Linked DNA regions of Canis lupus familiaris. The protein of the gene in region 2 purifies or fractionates together with the protein of the main gene of each other region. This does not show direct contact. Links are inferred from orthologs where the notes say so. Each region holds a gene or a part of one and is shown on either strand. Other genes may lie near its edges.

Evidence for each region.
Region 1: the proteins of PML (region 2) and ZMYM2 purify together in Homo sapiens (affinity purification with western blotting; 3 studies listed by BioGRID, with this or other methods). This does not show direct contact. The link is inferred for Canis lupus familiaris from reciprocal best matches to the Homo sapiens genes PML and ZMYM2.
Region 3: the proteins of PML (region 2) and NDUFS1 purify together in Homo sapiens (affinity purification with mass spectrometry; 3 studies listed by BioGRID and IntAct, counting the BioPlex papers as one, with this or other methods). This does not show direct contact. The link is inferred for Canis lupus familiaris from reciprocal best matches to the Homo sapiens genes PML and NDUFS1.
Region 4: the proteins of PML (region 2) and ZFYVE9 purify together in Homo sapiens (affinity purification with western blotting; 3 studies listed by BioGRID and IntAct, with this or other methods). This does not show direct contact. The link is inferred for Canis lupus familiaris from reciprocal best matches to the Homo sapiens genes PML and ZFYVE9.

What each region holds. Positions count from the first base shown.
Region 1 is NC_049246.1:18,126,796-18,130,360, forward strand, and holds part of ZMYM2 (zinc finger MYM-type protein 2), read right to left. Parts: intron 1,235-3,565; coding exon 1,120-1,234; intron 237-1,119; coding exon 1-236. UniProt on the Homo sapiens protein: Involved in the negative regulation of transcription.
Region 2 is NC_049251.1:37,672,276-37,676,282, reverse strand, and holds the start of PML (protein PML), read right to left. Parts: upstream 2,822-4,007; 5' UTR 2,702-2,821; coding exon 2,567-2,701; intron 321-2,566; coding exon 1-320.
Region 3 is NC_049258.1:14,562,015-14,565,579, reverse strand, and holds part of NDUFS1 (NADH-ubiquinone oxidoreductase 75 kDa subunit, mitochondrial), read left to right. Parts: intron 1-581; coding exon 582-658; intron 659-1,248; coding exon 1,249-1,330; intron 1,331-1,420; coding exon 1,421-1,551; intron 1,552-2,001; coding exon 2,002-2,187; intron 2,188-3,565.
Region 4 is NC_049236.1:9,238,278-9,242,610, forward strand, and holds the start of ZFYVE9 (zinc finger FYVE domain-containing protein 9), read right to left. Parts: upstream 2,833-4,333; 5' UTR 2,699-2,832; intron 1-2,698. UniProt on the Homo sapiens protein: Early endosomal protein that functions to recruit SMAD2/SMAD3 to intracellular membranes and to the TGF-beta receptor.

The DNA.
Region 1 (3,565 bases), on a different chromosome or scaffold from region 2:
ACATAAGGAAGACACTTGGTATCGAAGACATGCTTTGTTTTCCATTGTTAAAGGATTTTTTTTCCAGTGCCTAAATACAGTGCCAAAGGAAAGTCTTAAGTGTTGTTCCACTGTTTTCAGGCCAAAATACTTAGTGTTAAAGTAGAACAGGGTATTCAGAAGAGCTACAGGAGAGTGTGACCCTAGCTGTTTTATCCTCCAGAGATAATCTTCTTCAACTCGAGAAAAAATTGACCCTTAAATAAAGAGAAACATTTTTAAAGAATTACAATAAATAAAACAATTTTAATTTAATCATCTAAAAAATAAAGTTAATTCAAGAACAAACTTATTCCAATCCTCCATTCACACCAGGTCAAAACTGGAATGAATTTCAGAATTCCCTATGCAGCTCTTTAAAAAAAGAGGCTAGGAGAGACACACTAGACTATGGAACTAGCATCTCTGGAGTAAGGGGCTAGATGTTTGCTTCTGTTCTTCTGTAGGACAAGCACAGAAGGTCAGAAAGGAATTTAAACCTGTAGAATTCCTGAAAAAAGATCGCTGATTTCCATTCACAAACATATTTTCTTCACACACCTAAAACAGATTTCTTAGAGAAATTTACATTACAATATTATCCCCTAGAGGCCTTATGAAATAAACATCCAGTGTCTTACTCCAGAGAAAGAGGGTCACATTTATTACAAAATTCTTCATAAACAGTAGTTATCAACTACATTCATTTCTAACTCAACAAAAGATGAACAGTAAGTTCATCAATAGGTATACTGAAAAATATGCCATCTAATTTAAATTATTCCCTAATTATTTCTAATATGCTTCCTGTAAAAATAAAAATCCCAGCAGCAAGTTAGCAATGGAATTCCTTATTTAAAAGGCATTACAGGGACACCTGGGTGGCTCAGTTGGTTAAGCATTCGACTCTTGACTTCAGCTCATGTCATGATCTCAGGGTCATAAAACGGAGTACTGCATGGGGCTCCACACTCAGCAGAGAATCTACTGGAGATTCTCTTTCCCTTACCCTCTCCCTTTGACCCCTCCTCCAACTCGCATGCATGTGTGCTCTCTAAAATAAATTACCAAATCTTTTTAAAAAAATAAAAAGAGTATTACCATCTGGAAGTATGCTGGGTTGCCAACTTCGGAGTATTTTATTCAATTCTTGCTCAAATGTTTGGTATCCTGGATCAATAAATATGTTGTCTTTTCGATTACTACCACACAAGTACTACAAAAAAAAAAAAGTTTCTTGAAGGAAAAACCAACTAATTTTAAGTAGTGAATACATTACTTATATTCTCTATGTCTTAAGAAAGAAAGAAATCTTATGTCTATGAAAAAGAGGCACAGTAATGCAACATGAGAGACTACTGGCTTTATCTATATATGTAAAAATTATAAAGTTACCAATTACTCTGTTGCCTAAAAAACTCAAAGCTGAAATACACATCTAAGAATCCAGAATGTAAGAACTGGAGAAATCTTCAGTCTGTCAGATAAAAGCAGAATATCTGGCTCTAATGCTCATTATATAGCACATGGAGAAAAAACAAAATTAGACTTTCCAGTAAGAGTAATTAAAAGAAAAATTGTGAATGGTACAGATGGGATAAAATGTTACTCTGTAGCTGTCTGAGGATCTCTTCTAGCAATCTTTGTCAGGCTAAGGCTTTTTTACTTACTGCCTCTCTTTGTTTAACTCCTGTGAGTCACACAAATTAATGACTCTAACAACTTACTATGACAAACCTTAACAGCGAGGGTTGTTAAAGAGTAATTTAAACACTAAAGTTTGCAAAGTCTCTCTCCAATGTAATCTAAAAATAAAATAATGTAAAAGTAAAATGTATGACAATAGCACAGAGAACAGGAGGCAAGAGTTGGAAAACTTACACTATTTTAAGGTTCATACATTATACATAAAGAGATAAAATAATTTGGAGGGTAAATAACTGGAGATGCATATTAAATTCTAGGGCAATCACTACAAAAAGGCATAAATAAACCAGTAGTGGAGATAAAATACAATCATAGAAAAATAACTAATTCAAAGGAGAGCAGAGAAAGAAAAACAAAACAAAATACCCCACAAAGAACAGATAGAACAAATACAAAACAACCAGGAGGACAGATTTTCATCCAATGAAAATGTGATTACACTGAGTATAAAAGGTAAACCAGGTGGCAAACTAGAGTCCTTGAGCCAAATCTGGCCCACTGCCTATTTCTGTCAATAAAGGTTTCTTGAAATACAGACAAGATTGATATTTGCATACTGCCCAAGTCTGCTTTCATACTACAATGGCAAAATTGAATGGGTACATGACACAGACCAGTGGGACCACAAAGACCAAATAAAATGTTTACTCTCTGGTCCTTTATTTAAAAAGGGAAAAAACTTGTTGGTCTAAACACAGCAAAACAAGATTGGTCAACTGGATTTAAAAAAAAAAAAAAAGGCGAAGCCTAACAATATGCTACTTACAAGACACCTTTTTTTTTTTTTTTTAAAGTAATCTCTACACCCAACATGGTACTCAAACGCATAACCCCAAGATCAAGAGTTGCATACTCTTTCAACTGAGGCAGGGAGATGCCTCAAGACATCTATTTTAAACATGAGGACACAGATAAATGAAAAATTAAAGGATGAAAAGATATATACATATACTAATCAAAAATCAGACCAGCAGGGCACCTGGGTGGCTCAGTGGTTGAGCGTCTGCCTTTGGCTCCAGGTATGATCCCAGGGTCCTGGGATAGAGTCTCACATCAAGCTCCCTGTGGGGAGCTTGCTCCTCCTTCTGCCTATGTCTCGGACTCTCTCTGTGTGTCTCTCATGAATACATAAATAAAATCTTTAAAAAAAAATCAGACTAGCATATCATCATCTGATCTAATATTAGTACTACTAATCAGAAGGAAGATTGGCCATCATAATTTCAAAATAGCAGAACAAAAATTCCTAACTAATGCCTTTCAAATAGGATGCAAACCAAGTGCCTGGCAATCAATGAAGTAACAACGTCAGAGCTTCCTCTGCTTTTAGGTTAGTCAGAGGACTGGAATTAAACTATTTTCTAAGCTATCTGGAAATTCTCAACGTTATTATTGTAGCATTAATTGGTTAAAATGCAGTATCACAATTTGATCTGTTTAATGAGACTACAAATATTTTTTTTAAGTTTTATTGTTGTTTTTTAAGTAGGCTCCACAACTAGCAGGGAGCCCAAGTTGGGGCCTAAACCCACCAGCCTGAGATCAAGACCTGAGCTAAAATCACGAGTTGTACACTTAACCAATGAGGCACCCCTATAAATATTTTTTTAAGTAGGGTCCCTAGACATTTTTAAAATGCAAATTTAGGGCACATTATAGAAAACAATCACAAAAGTGAAATCCTCATGTTTGGAATAGCAATTTATATTTTTTGTTCCTAACATAGAGCAGCATACATAATAATAAAATTAAAAAAAGAGGGAAGTGATTCTGAAATAATCTTCAACTATATTAAGTCAAGCAACAAAGGGAAAGTACTTTTTATGTACATTCAGAACTT
Region 2 (4,007 bases):
AAGCACTTGGCACAGAGGAGCTGCTCGCACTCAAAACACCAGAAGTCCGCAGGTTCTTTGCATCGGGTGCAAACAGCTTGCGCGTCCACGATCTGCCTGTAAACCGACAGGCGCCGCTGCAGGCTCTCGAAGAAGACGTTGTCCAGGGCCGGCGAGCCAGCGCCTAGAGGCCCGGGCACCTGGCAGATGGAGCAGCGCAGGCCCGATGCCTCCAGGCATCCCGAGCAGAGCGTGTGCAGACACGGCAGCAGCTTGGGGCACTTGGCTTCGGCCTGGCAGCTCTGGCAGCACAGAAACTGGAACTCCTCCTCCAGGGCTTGCTGGGGGACCAGAGAGGTGGGGTGAGGCCTGAAATCCCGGAGCCCCCCCCCAGATCCTCTGCAGGGAGCACGGCACTACGAGGCCCGGACACCCAAGGATGGGAGCATAAATCCCTACCTTCAAGGGACTCGCTCTAGAAAGGAGATACGTGAAGCGTATCTCATGTAAATCATAAACAGTGCTTAATATGGTTTGGTGGAGGGGCACCTGGGGGCTCAGGGCGTGATCCTGGGGTCCTGGGATCGAGTCCCGCATTGGGCTCCCTGCATGGAGCCTGCTTCTCCCTCTGCCTATGTCTCTGCCTCTCTCTCTGTGTGTGTCTCTCATGAATAAATAAATAAAATCTTAAAAATATATATGGTTTGGTGGCTCCTGAAGAAGTTAAACACAGGAGTACTATATAACCCAGCAATTTCATTCCTAGATAGATTTCCCAAAATAACTGAAGACAAGTAGCTGAACAGATACTTTACACCCATGTCCACAGCACCATCATGCACAGGCTCCAAAAGGTAGAAATAACCCAAGTGTCCATCAACAAATGAACAGATAAACAAAACCGGTCTACGCGTGCAATGGAGTATCATTCAGTTTTTAAAAATGAAGGAAGAGGGACGTCTGGGTGGCTCAGCAGTTGAGCATCTGCCTTTGGCCCAGGGCGTGATCCTGGGGTCCCTGGATCGAGTCCCATATCGGGCTCCCTGCAAGGAGCCTGCTTCTCCCTCTGCCTGCGTCTCTGCCTCTCTCAAATAAATAAAATCTTTAAAAAAATCTTTAAAAAAATATATAAATAAAATAAAATCTTTAAAAAAGAAAATGAAGGAAGGGGCGCCTGGCTGGCTCAGTTGGTGGAGAATGTGACTCTTGATCTTGGGTTTGTGAGTTCAAGCCCCACACTGGGTGTAGAGGTTACTTAAAAATAAGATCTTTACCAAAAATAACATAAAATAAAATGAAAAGGAAGTAAATTCTCATACATGCTATGAGAACCTTGAAAACATTAGGCTAAGCAAAATAAGACAAACACGAAGGGACAAATAATTGGATGGCTCACTTATATGAAATATCTAGCATCGGCAGATCCACAGCAGCAGAAAAGTAGAGTGGAGGTTACCAGGAGCTGGGAGAAGCGGGTAAATAAGGAGCTACTGCTTAGGGAGTACAGTTTCTGTGGAGGGTGATGAAAAAAATTCTGGAAATAGATGGTGGTTGACGGTTACCCAACATTGTGAATATATTCAATGCCACTGAAATGTACACTTAAAAACCGTTAAGTTTTTGGGGCACCTGGCTGGCTCAGTGAGCGCAGCACGAGGCTCTGGATCCTGCGGTTGTTAAGTTCAAGCCCCATGCTGGGCGTAGAGATTACTTAGAAGAAATAAAAATGTTAAAAACATGGTAATTTTAATATTATGGATATTTTCTAGAAAAAAAAAGGGGGAAAAAGTGCTTAATAAAGTACTGGCCCACGAGGAATGTTCACAAGGAAGTAGTACGATTCCTAGTTGTAATAATGCACAGAATAGAAGTTACTGCAGGATGGTGCTTTCATGAAGGGCCTGGGAAAACACACTGCATGAGATGTGAAGTAGCTCCTCTGGGGCAGGAGGGCAGCTGGGGAGCTTGTCCCGAGCAGACCCAGGCAAGCTTCCGGGAAGAGGCCCCAGGAAACCCGGAGCAGACCCAGGCAAGCTTCCGGAAGAGGCCCCAGTACACCCTTTGTGGACCCAGGGTGGGGGTGCGGGGGTGGAGGGCACACAGGGTGTTCCAACAGAAGGATCTTGGAGGTAGGTATCCTAGCGGAGAAGCCACCCCAAGAGCTGTGAGGCCTTAGCCAAGACACTTCTCTCGTCTGGGCCAGGTTCCCACTTCCTGATCTGGGAACTCGGCTTTTGGTTTTCCACACTTGGGACATGCCCCTGGCTCTCGGCCTGCTCCCCAGGGCTACCCCGCCATCCCCCGAATCCCTGGACCTTCATCTGAGGCTCAGGGGGGCAAGTCGCCAGGGTGGGCAGATGAGTCCAGGCCCTCAGCACCTTGCCCCCTGTCCGTGGGGCATGCCAGCCCCGAGGCCCCCCCAGCTCACCCTGGTACCCTTTCCCACTCTCAGCTGCCCCGAGGGTCGGGGCCCAGTGTCTGGCTTTCTCTCTGGGTCACTCTGGGGAGGTGCCTGGCCTCGCTGTCCCCTCCCTTTCCCGAAGCCATCAACCAAGCCTCCACCCCACCTCCCCAAGCCCAGTGGTACCTCCGCGGGGCTGCGGCTGGGGCTGGGCTGGTGGCCCTCGGAGGCGGGCTCCGGGGGAGGCATGCTGGGCGCCCCGGACGGTGCGGGGTCCTGCCCGGGCGCCGGAGAGCGGGGGGGCGCGGGCTCCTGCTGCATGGATCCCAGCACAGTTTCGCTTCTGGGTTTTGAGCCTGAGGGGGGAGGAGAAGCGAAACCGAGAGGCAGGGACCGGATCGCGGTCGCCGGAGCCCGTGGGAGGGACGGCCCCACTCAGGGCCCGCCTCCCCGGAGGAAGTGAGACAGAGCCGGGGGGCGGTTCTAGGGCCGGGGAGGGGGGGTCTGGAGACACGCCCCGAGCCGGAGGGAGGAGGGGAGGAGAGAAGATGCTCAGCCGACCTGGGGGTAACCCGGCCGCGGCCTGGCCTAGCGGGAGGGAGGCCGGGCCGCCCTTGGCTTGACCCCGGGCACAGACAGGAGCCACAGGTGGGCCTGCTTTGGAAGAACCCAGGTCTAAGCGAGAGCAGTCACCCAAACAGGTTTGCACGCTGCAGAGGGGCAGGCCGGAAAGGAGATCTCAGCTGGGACGTGCAGGAACTTGGGGATGGGGAACGCTTGCAACAGCACGAGCAAAGGCATGGAGGTTTGAAACAGGAGAGTCTGTTTAGAAACCAGTTTCCAGGGATGCCCGGGTGGCTCAGCGGTTTAGCGCCTGCCTTCAGCCCGGGGTGTGATCCTGGAGACCCCAGATCGAGTCCCACATCGGGCTCCCTGCATGGAACCTGCTTCTCCCTCTGCCTGTGTTGTGTCTCTGCCCCTCTCTCTGTGTGTGTGTGATGTCTCATGAATAAATAAATAAAATCTTAAAAAGAAACCGGTTTTCATTATTTTCAAATTTAAGAGGGGACCCATGAGCAGGATCAGGGCTAAGGAGATGCACTTGTTCTGTGGGCAACAGCGTGAGATTAGAACCCAGAAACATGACCCAACACGCATGTTGGGACAGTCACTCTGGCAACCTGGGATGGGTGACCTGGTCTAGGACAATGGCTGTGGGATGCAGAGGAGGGATCTGAGTCTGAGACACCAGGAGGACAGTGAGTGGAGCTGAGGGGAACAGGATGATGCCTTGGTTGAGAGTTGGAAAGGTTGGTGAGTCTGAGGCAGCGCAGGCAGGGAGTGGAAGGGGAGAGCCGACGAGCAGGTATGAAGACAGCGAGGAGAGAGCAAGTTAGTTCTTGGCTAAAGGGGAAGCATGCCAGCTCCCAGCTGGTGAGGGTAGGAAGCACAACCTCGGGCAGCTTCACTGGATGAAGGGCCCTGGCTTCAAACACCAAACCACCCCAACCACTGTATTACCCGCTGGGTACAATTCTGTGCTCAGTTCCAGCTTGGAGCGGACTAGGGATGGTGATGGGACCTTGCTCTTGTAAAGTTTATCCTCTGGGCTATGTGGGGAAAGGGA
Region 3 (3,565 bases), on a different chromosome or scaffold from region 2:
CTCCAGTATTTCCAAATGGCTATGTGACACACAGCTAAGATGCAGAGTTGCCAAGCAGCACATTGAAAGTGCCATTCCATTTTCACTAGAGAAAGGGATTGCAGTGAAGAGGTTCACTTTCAGTTTAATTTCATTTTGTCTCATACAGTTCTAATTTAGTACCTGCTAATAAAAACATTTATTTTTTAAGATTGTATTTATTTATTCATGGAGACACAGAAAGAGAGAGGCAGAGACACAGGCAGAGAGATAAGCAGGCTCCATGCAGGGAGCCTGATGTGGGACTCCATCCTGGTACTCCAGGATCACACCCTGAGCCCAAGGCAGACACACTTAACTGCTGAGCCATCCAGGAGTCCTGAGAATAGAATTTAGAAGTATGATGTCTTATTTTTTTCTAAGTGAAATATAAAGTGTCAGATTATCATATTGTGAATATGAAAACTGAAAAATAGAGTCTTCAACAGTACTGTTCTTTGCTTCTTTTCAAATGTAAGATTTAATGTTTTTATATATTGGGTAGCTTATAATTATAAGTAAATATAAGTACTTAAAGGTTTTTTTTTTTATTGAAATTCCAGGTTGTAGCTGCTTGTGCCATGCCAGTAATGAAAGGTTGGAATATCCTAACAAACTCAGAGAAATCTAAGAAAGCCAGGTACTTTAATGTTACTTAGCATAGTAACTTTTCCTATAGTGGAAAATTGCTCATTTCAGAATTTAGACCTCCTATAGATGAAAAATTCAGTAAAAAGCTCTGAAAAAGTTGGCAGGTTGGGCTCATAGGAGCATTGGAAATAAGTACACAGTAAGGAGGTTAAGCCAGGTGTTCATGCTTTTGAGCCTAGAATGGAATTAGCACTAACAGCTCTTATTTAGTAACTTTTTCAACTTGTGATGAATAATGAATCTGGGGCTTATTGAACTGAGATTATTTCAGTAACATATTACTATATTGTATAGGCACTGATTATATTTCTTTTTGCTGTGCATTTGCTTTTATTTTGAATTAATGTGAATGATTTCTGAAGACCATTCAGCAACTTTGGGTAATTTTGTATTGTTAACAGTCATAATTTTCTATGTTCTGTAATGATATTTTATTCCTAGACTTATATAAACATTTTTTTAGATTGTGTCTAATACTAGAATGATGGTTGCATTGGCATTTCTGATAATAAATGCAAGTTTAATACTATATGAAAGGATGATACAATATCATTTTACATATTAAAATTTTCCATACAGAGAAGGTGTGATGGAGTTCTTATTAGCAAATCACCCACTGGACTGTCCTATTTGTGACCAGGGAGGTGAATGTGATCTGCAGGTATGTCGTCTAACTTCATAAATCTTTTTTGGTTGTCTCCGGTTTTGATTTCACTAGCAGCATTAGATTAATTCTCTCAATCTACTTAAGGACCAATCCATGATGTTTGGAAGTGATAGGAGCCGATTTTTAGAGGGAAAACGTGCTGTGGAGGACAAAAACATTGGACCATTGGTAAAGACCATTATGACTAGATGTATACAGTGTACTCGCTGCATCAGGTAATGATTTTCCTTCTGTCTTCTGGAATATCATTCACATACTTAATATTCACAAATTTGATGGAATAACAACAATAGAAAAAATGGCAACATTTTTTGGTGGGAGAAGAGGCATGTTTTTAATGTTTCCTGCATAAGTAAATAAAATGAATTGATCGCTTTCAATAAATATCAATTTGCATTGAATTTACAAATCAAAAGCTGTAAGCATTCACTCTGATAACTTGTTGAGCTATATACGTGATTTGTGCAATTTTCTGTGTGTTACACTGCAATTAACTAACATACAAACATTTATTGAACTCTCTTTTATTCAAGGACTGTTTACCTTTGAAAATATAGTTGTGTGTTTTTAGTGTTTTGAAAATCATTATCTCTTTGTGATCATAGATAGGAAAGGAGGTAATTTTGCTGGATTTGACCATTTGACAGTACATTTTTACCTTGCAGGTTTGCAAGTGAGATTGCAGGAGTAGATGATTTGGGAACAACAGGCAGAGGAAATGATATGCAGGTTGGCACGTACATTGAAAAGATGTTCATGTCTGAACTGTCTGGCAATATCATTGACATCTGCCCTGTAGGTGCCCTGACCTCTAAGCCCTATGCTTTTACTGCCCGCCCTTGGGAAACAAGGTATTCATTGTTGATTTTTTGATAATTTGTTTTTTGTCCTTTAATTGACCATTGTTCAAAAAAATTTAAGATTCATGTCCTTCCTATATTCTGATTGTTTTGGTCTGCTAAGTTTTTATGTATTTAAGTACAATCCTCTTACTGGAAGGTAAGTAGATAGATTAAAGGACAGGGTGAACCTGTGTAAATCAATTATAGTTTTCTTGGAAATTAATTCCCAAGTACTTAACCACACAATTATTTTATTCACTTGATCTTTCAAAGAGTAAAATGAGCTTGATTTTTAAAAGATAGTCTCCTCATTGTATGTTTTCAACCATGTGCAGATATATTTTAGTCAGTTCCTATTATCAGACATTTAGTTTGTTTCTGTATAGTTGTAAATCTGTGGTAAAAATTGTTATCGTGGTGCCAGGTAGCTCAGTCAGTTTAGCATCCAACTCTTAGGTTTGGCTCAAGGTTTGTGAGACCAAGCCCCACATCCGGCTCTGTGCTCAGCACAGAGTGCTTCAAATTTTCTCCCTCTCCTAGCTTTCTCTCTCTCTGTCTCACTCTCCCCTCCCCCCACCCCATCTCAAATAAATGAATAAAATCTTTAAAAAAAATTGTTAAAAATTTTCTTACATATCTCTGCTTTATTTTATTTTTTTTATTTGACAGAGAGTGAGCGCACAAGCAGGGAGAGTGGCAGGCAGAGGGAGAGGGAGAAGCAGGCTCCCTGCAAAACAAGGAGCTCAATAAGGGGCTCCATCCCTGGACCCTGATCCTAGGAGCCTGGGATGATGACCTGAGCCAAAGGCAGACGCTTAACTGACTGAGCCACCCAGGAGTCCCTATATCTCTGATTCTTCTTACTAAACTGAGAAGTGGAGTAGGTAGTTGCAATGAGTTTGAATATTTTTAAGGTCCTAGAAATATATCATTAAATTACCCTCCTGTTTTTAAACTTCCACTGGAGTATATGAGAATATCTTAGAATTCTAGGTTTTTAACCACGTATTTATGTATATTAAAGGATTATGGGGATGGGGCACAGTATGTACCTGAGATTTTTTTTTTTAAGATTTTATTTATTTATTCATGAGAATACACAGAGAGGAGAGAGAGAGAGAGGCAGAGACACAGGCAGAGGGAGAAGCAGGCTCCATGCAGGGAGCCCGACGTGGGACTCCATCCAGGGTCTCCAGGATCAGGCCCTGGCCTGAAGGTGGCGCTCAACTGCTGAGCCACCTGAGCTACCCGTAGCTGAGATGTTTAAGTAGAGATTTTTCTCTTTTTCTTTTAAGACCCCCATAATGCAAGCAGAAAAGAACTTCCATCTCTATAGCTTACCCTAGCCTGATAGAACCTGTTCAAGGTGGGAGGGAAGGGGATGAGA
Region 4 (4,333 bases), on a different chromosome or scaffold from region 2:
TCTTTAGGAATGTATTTAAGTCCAGGCAATTATCTTTTAAACGAGATTTGTGCCTTGCAACTTGTCTGTGGCCAACATATATAACAGGTGCCAAATAAAAGTTTACTGAATGGGATGCACACTGGTAGCTTAGCAACAGAAGAAGAAATGGGACCATCTTCATTCATTCTGCCTTTCTAAGGGAGTTAATATACAACTATTACTTACCAGGCAACATATACAACTTTCTCCTTACAGAATAAAACAATTATAGAATAGAAGGGAATGGAATAGAAGGGAATGATCACATATAAAAATTACTAATTCTTAAAGGGCAAGCTGTTGATTAAATATTTGAAGCTTTCTTTTTTTTAAGATTTTATTTATTCATGAGAGACACACAGAGAGAGAGAAAGAGGCAGAGACATAGGCAGAGGGAGAAGCAGGCTCCATGCAGGAAGCCTGATGTGAGACTTGATCCTAAGACCCCAGGATCACGACCTGAGCCAAAAGCAGAGGCCCAACCTCTGAGCCACGCAGGTGCTCCAAATATTCGAAGCCTTAAAGAGAGATCCAGCATGTTCTGCTCAACTCTTGTCTGCCTCGTAAGAGTTCTGTCTCCACAGTTGGCTAGTTGCTAGCAGAGAGACCATGGTCATTTTTGTGCTCCTAGAACACCAAACACAGGACCTAACACTTAATACTAATAGCTAAACTTTTATAAAGATCTTCCACAAATTAGAAAACTTTTTCAGATGAATTAACCCTAAAAGCCTTGCAAGGTAAGTGTAGTATCTATCTACATTTTATAGACAATGACTTCAAAGTCCAAGAAGAGATTAAGTGACAAGATAAGTGGCCAGGTATCCTATAACACCACAGCCACCAGAAAAGGCTGATATATGTTAATTGAATCAGCTATCCCTTGAAATATCATTTTTCTTTCTAAGATTGTAACACCATTATCTGTTGCTATGATAAATGATTGTACTGCCACTTAAGATTGATAGCTTTGCTAGAAAACAGATACTGTCATTTAGGCTTGACCAGGTTAGTTAACTTTTAACTTCGTATATCAGTGATTCTCAAACTTTAAGAGGACTACGAATTGGGGAGCTTGGTAAAAATAAAGATCCTTGGGCCACCATGATCTCTAGAAATCCTGATTCAAGGGACCAGGAATCTGCATATCTTAATAAGCACTCTCAGCTGATTCTAATGGTTGTAGTCTTTAGAGACACTTTGAGAATTGAACTAGACTTCCGAAACTTAATCTACTCCCCCCAATTATTTTAATCAAGCCAATTTTTTTTTACAGTTTTAAGTATTTAAGCAAAATCTTACAAAAACAATCCAAGCCTACCACATCTAACAGGAAAGGTCCTCAAAAATGTTTACTACACCAAACTTCTCTAGACCTCAGGAGCCTGCAGACCGACCTCAGGCCCTGCATGGAGCCTGTTTCTCTCTCTGCCTGTGTCTCTGCCTCTCTCTTCACATAGTTGATGAGTTCAACTATGACTGCAACGTAATTTAGTAAAACATTTTTGTAAGTCCTACAAAAACGACTGGATGTTAAATAGTAAAAGGGAACCAGTTAACTCTGAACCTGACAGAAATAATAATTAAACGCAATTTGAATAATTAATAAAGTAATCATAAGCCAATAACTTTTAAATCATCAACAGTACAAGCCCATTTAAAACTTTAAGTGACCATCAAAATGTACTAACTATAAGATTATGGGTGACTTTTTCCGCACTATTAAATATTTATTGAGAGTTGACACAGTAGGTTTCTGTATTCTTCGAATTTTCTACAATAAGCAGATTTTATTCACAATTATCAAAGTTCTAGAAGTACTTATTAATCCTGTAACCTTCACATACGTAATAGGAAAACAAGAATAACCTGTAACCACATTTATCATAAACCATAAACACCAAAACACCTGGCTTTAAGGTTTCAATCTGTAATCATTATTTTTCACATTAATACCAGATCACTTAACCTCTAAAATTTAGACTGTCCCATTTCGACCAGGTATGTCATTAGTGTAGTTAGCCTGACTTTTTAAAATCCCCTTGTCATCCACTCTGTGGATCTATTTAATAGGTGGAACTTCTTTGTATTGAGAACTGAGGCATTAAAATATTTACACTCTTATTAGGGAGAAGAGGGAACAGACCATTGTTTAAAAAAAAAAAAAAAAGGATATTTTTATCATTGTGAGTATTTATGTAGGAAACTTGGAGCCAAGCTAGGAGGGGCTTTCTCCAACAGCCCCGTCTCGGAGGTAAATGTCACAGGAAGCCGCAGGGGCGAGCTCGCGGCAGGTGAGGAAATCTCAGCTCGAATACGACGCAAGCGGCTGTTCCCGCCCGGTGCGCGGTGGGCGACCCTGGCAGCGGCCGCGAGGGCCGCGGGCTTCCGCGCCCCCTTCTCGGCAGTCCCCCGCCCCCACCGCGGGGCCGAGCGGCGGCCTCCAGGGTGCGCGGGCCCGGGCCGCCCGCGGGGGTCGGGGCGCGCCCGCCGCGGCCGCCGGGACCCAGGCCAGGCCGAGGGCTTCCCGGCGGCGCGGGGCCTAGTCGCCCCGGCCTCGCGCCTCGCGGGGACGCGGAGGGAAGGCTCGAGGCCCGAGCCGCGGGCTGGCGGAGGCGGCCGCCGAGCCCCTCATGCGGCGGGAGGCCGGGGGTCCCCCGCGCCGCGCCAGACTCACCTCGAGCCGCGGCCGCCGCCTCAGCATGGCCGGGGGGCCGCGCCTGGGCCGACAGCCTCCTCCGGAGGGCGCCGCCGCGACGCCTGCCGCTCCTGAAGGGCTTGCGGCCGCCGCTGCTGCTGAGGCCCAGCGCCCGCCGAGCCGCATGGGGCTCACGGGCCGCCGCAGCACGCGGGTCCCGGAGGGGCGCCGCTGAGCCGGGCCGGGCGCGGGGCGGCGGGCGGCGGGCGGGGGGCGGCGGCGGAGCCTCCAGCGTCGCCGTGGCCGCTCCCGCCGCCGGCGCCGCTGGCCCACAGCGCCCCCTGGGCCCCACGGCCGGCTACGGCGCGGGGACTGCGGCGGCCGCCCGGCGCGAGCGGCGGGGAGGGCGGGGGCTCCGGGCGCGGCGCTGCCCTCGGAAGCCCGGCCCCCGCCCCGGGCCGCGAGCGCCCGGCCCTCCCCTTCTCCCCCGAAGGTGCGCGGGCGGCCGTCACCGCGCGTTCTCGTCAGAGCGGGCCTGAGGGGCGCTGCGGGCTTCCGTCGCTCGGGGGGCGACGGCCCCCTGAGCCCTTCCGTGGGTGTGCGTGTAGGATGCGGACCCAGCGCCAACCTTGCGTCCACGCGCCCGTGCAAAACCCGCGCCCATAGCACCTGAATGGTCTTTGACCTTAACTTCTGGATCTGCTGTGCAGAGCGGTACAGAAATTTCCGACGGGTACCAGGTCCTTAATCCCAAACCGACCCCAAATTAGAAAAAAACATAATATGCCGAGCAAGAGAATAGCCAACGGGTTGTCCTGAAATTCATAAACAACTTAAAGGTAAGAACCACCCCCCCCCCGTCGTCTACGTTACCCCCCACCCCACCCCACCCCACCCCCACTCTTCCGCCCCGACCGCAGTCAGACCCCGGGTCGGGCCCTGAGGGAAGGAAGTGGGCGCGTCGCGCGGCCTGCGGAACCCTTCTGTTTGCGGGGATCCCGTGCGGCCCCCCTCAGCCTCGGGATGCACACGCCAGAACCGAAAGCAGGAGAAACCAAAAGACCGTCGGAAGGGAAGGAAATCCTCCAGATCGCCTGGGCCCAAACTCTCCAGTAACAGGACACTTTTGTCCTGGAGCGCTGTGGCGGATGGGCAAGCAGGGACCTGGCGGCGCGGGTTAGCCGGTGACCCTGGGCAGGTTACCTCCTATTTCTGAACCTGGGGTTTCTCGTGCCTGCCGTGCTGGTTGTTGTGAAAATGGGAGGTAATTTATGTGAAGAACTAGCCCAGAGAAGTAGCTTCTCAATGTTAGTTCCAGTTATTGTTGGTTCCAAAACACCCTCTCAGTCTTTCTTAAATTCAAGATTGTTCCCATCTGTTTTTGTTCTTTCTCTCTCAATCTCTGTGTAAATATATCCCTTTCAAAACATGAGTGCATCAGAAAAGGGAGGAAAAAAAAAAAAAAGATGGTGCATTGTTCTTTATTGTCCCTGGTCTGGGTAAAATTTTCCTAAATTTCATTAATGGATTTATGTAATTTCCCTCCACTGAGGAAAAATAGAGCCTAATACACTAGATGCTATAACATTCTATTGCAAAGCAGATTTTAGCGTAAAGCTAGTATACTTTTCTGTATATAAAAGTTATAAGGCAATCTCACCTTAGGTTATGTCC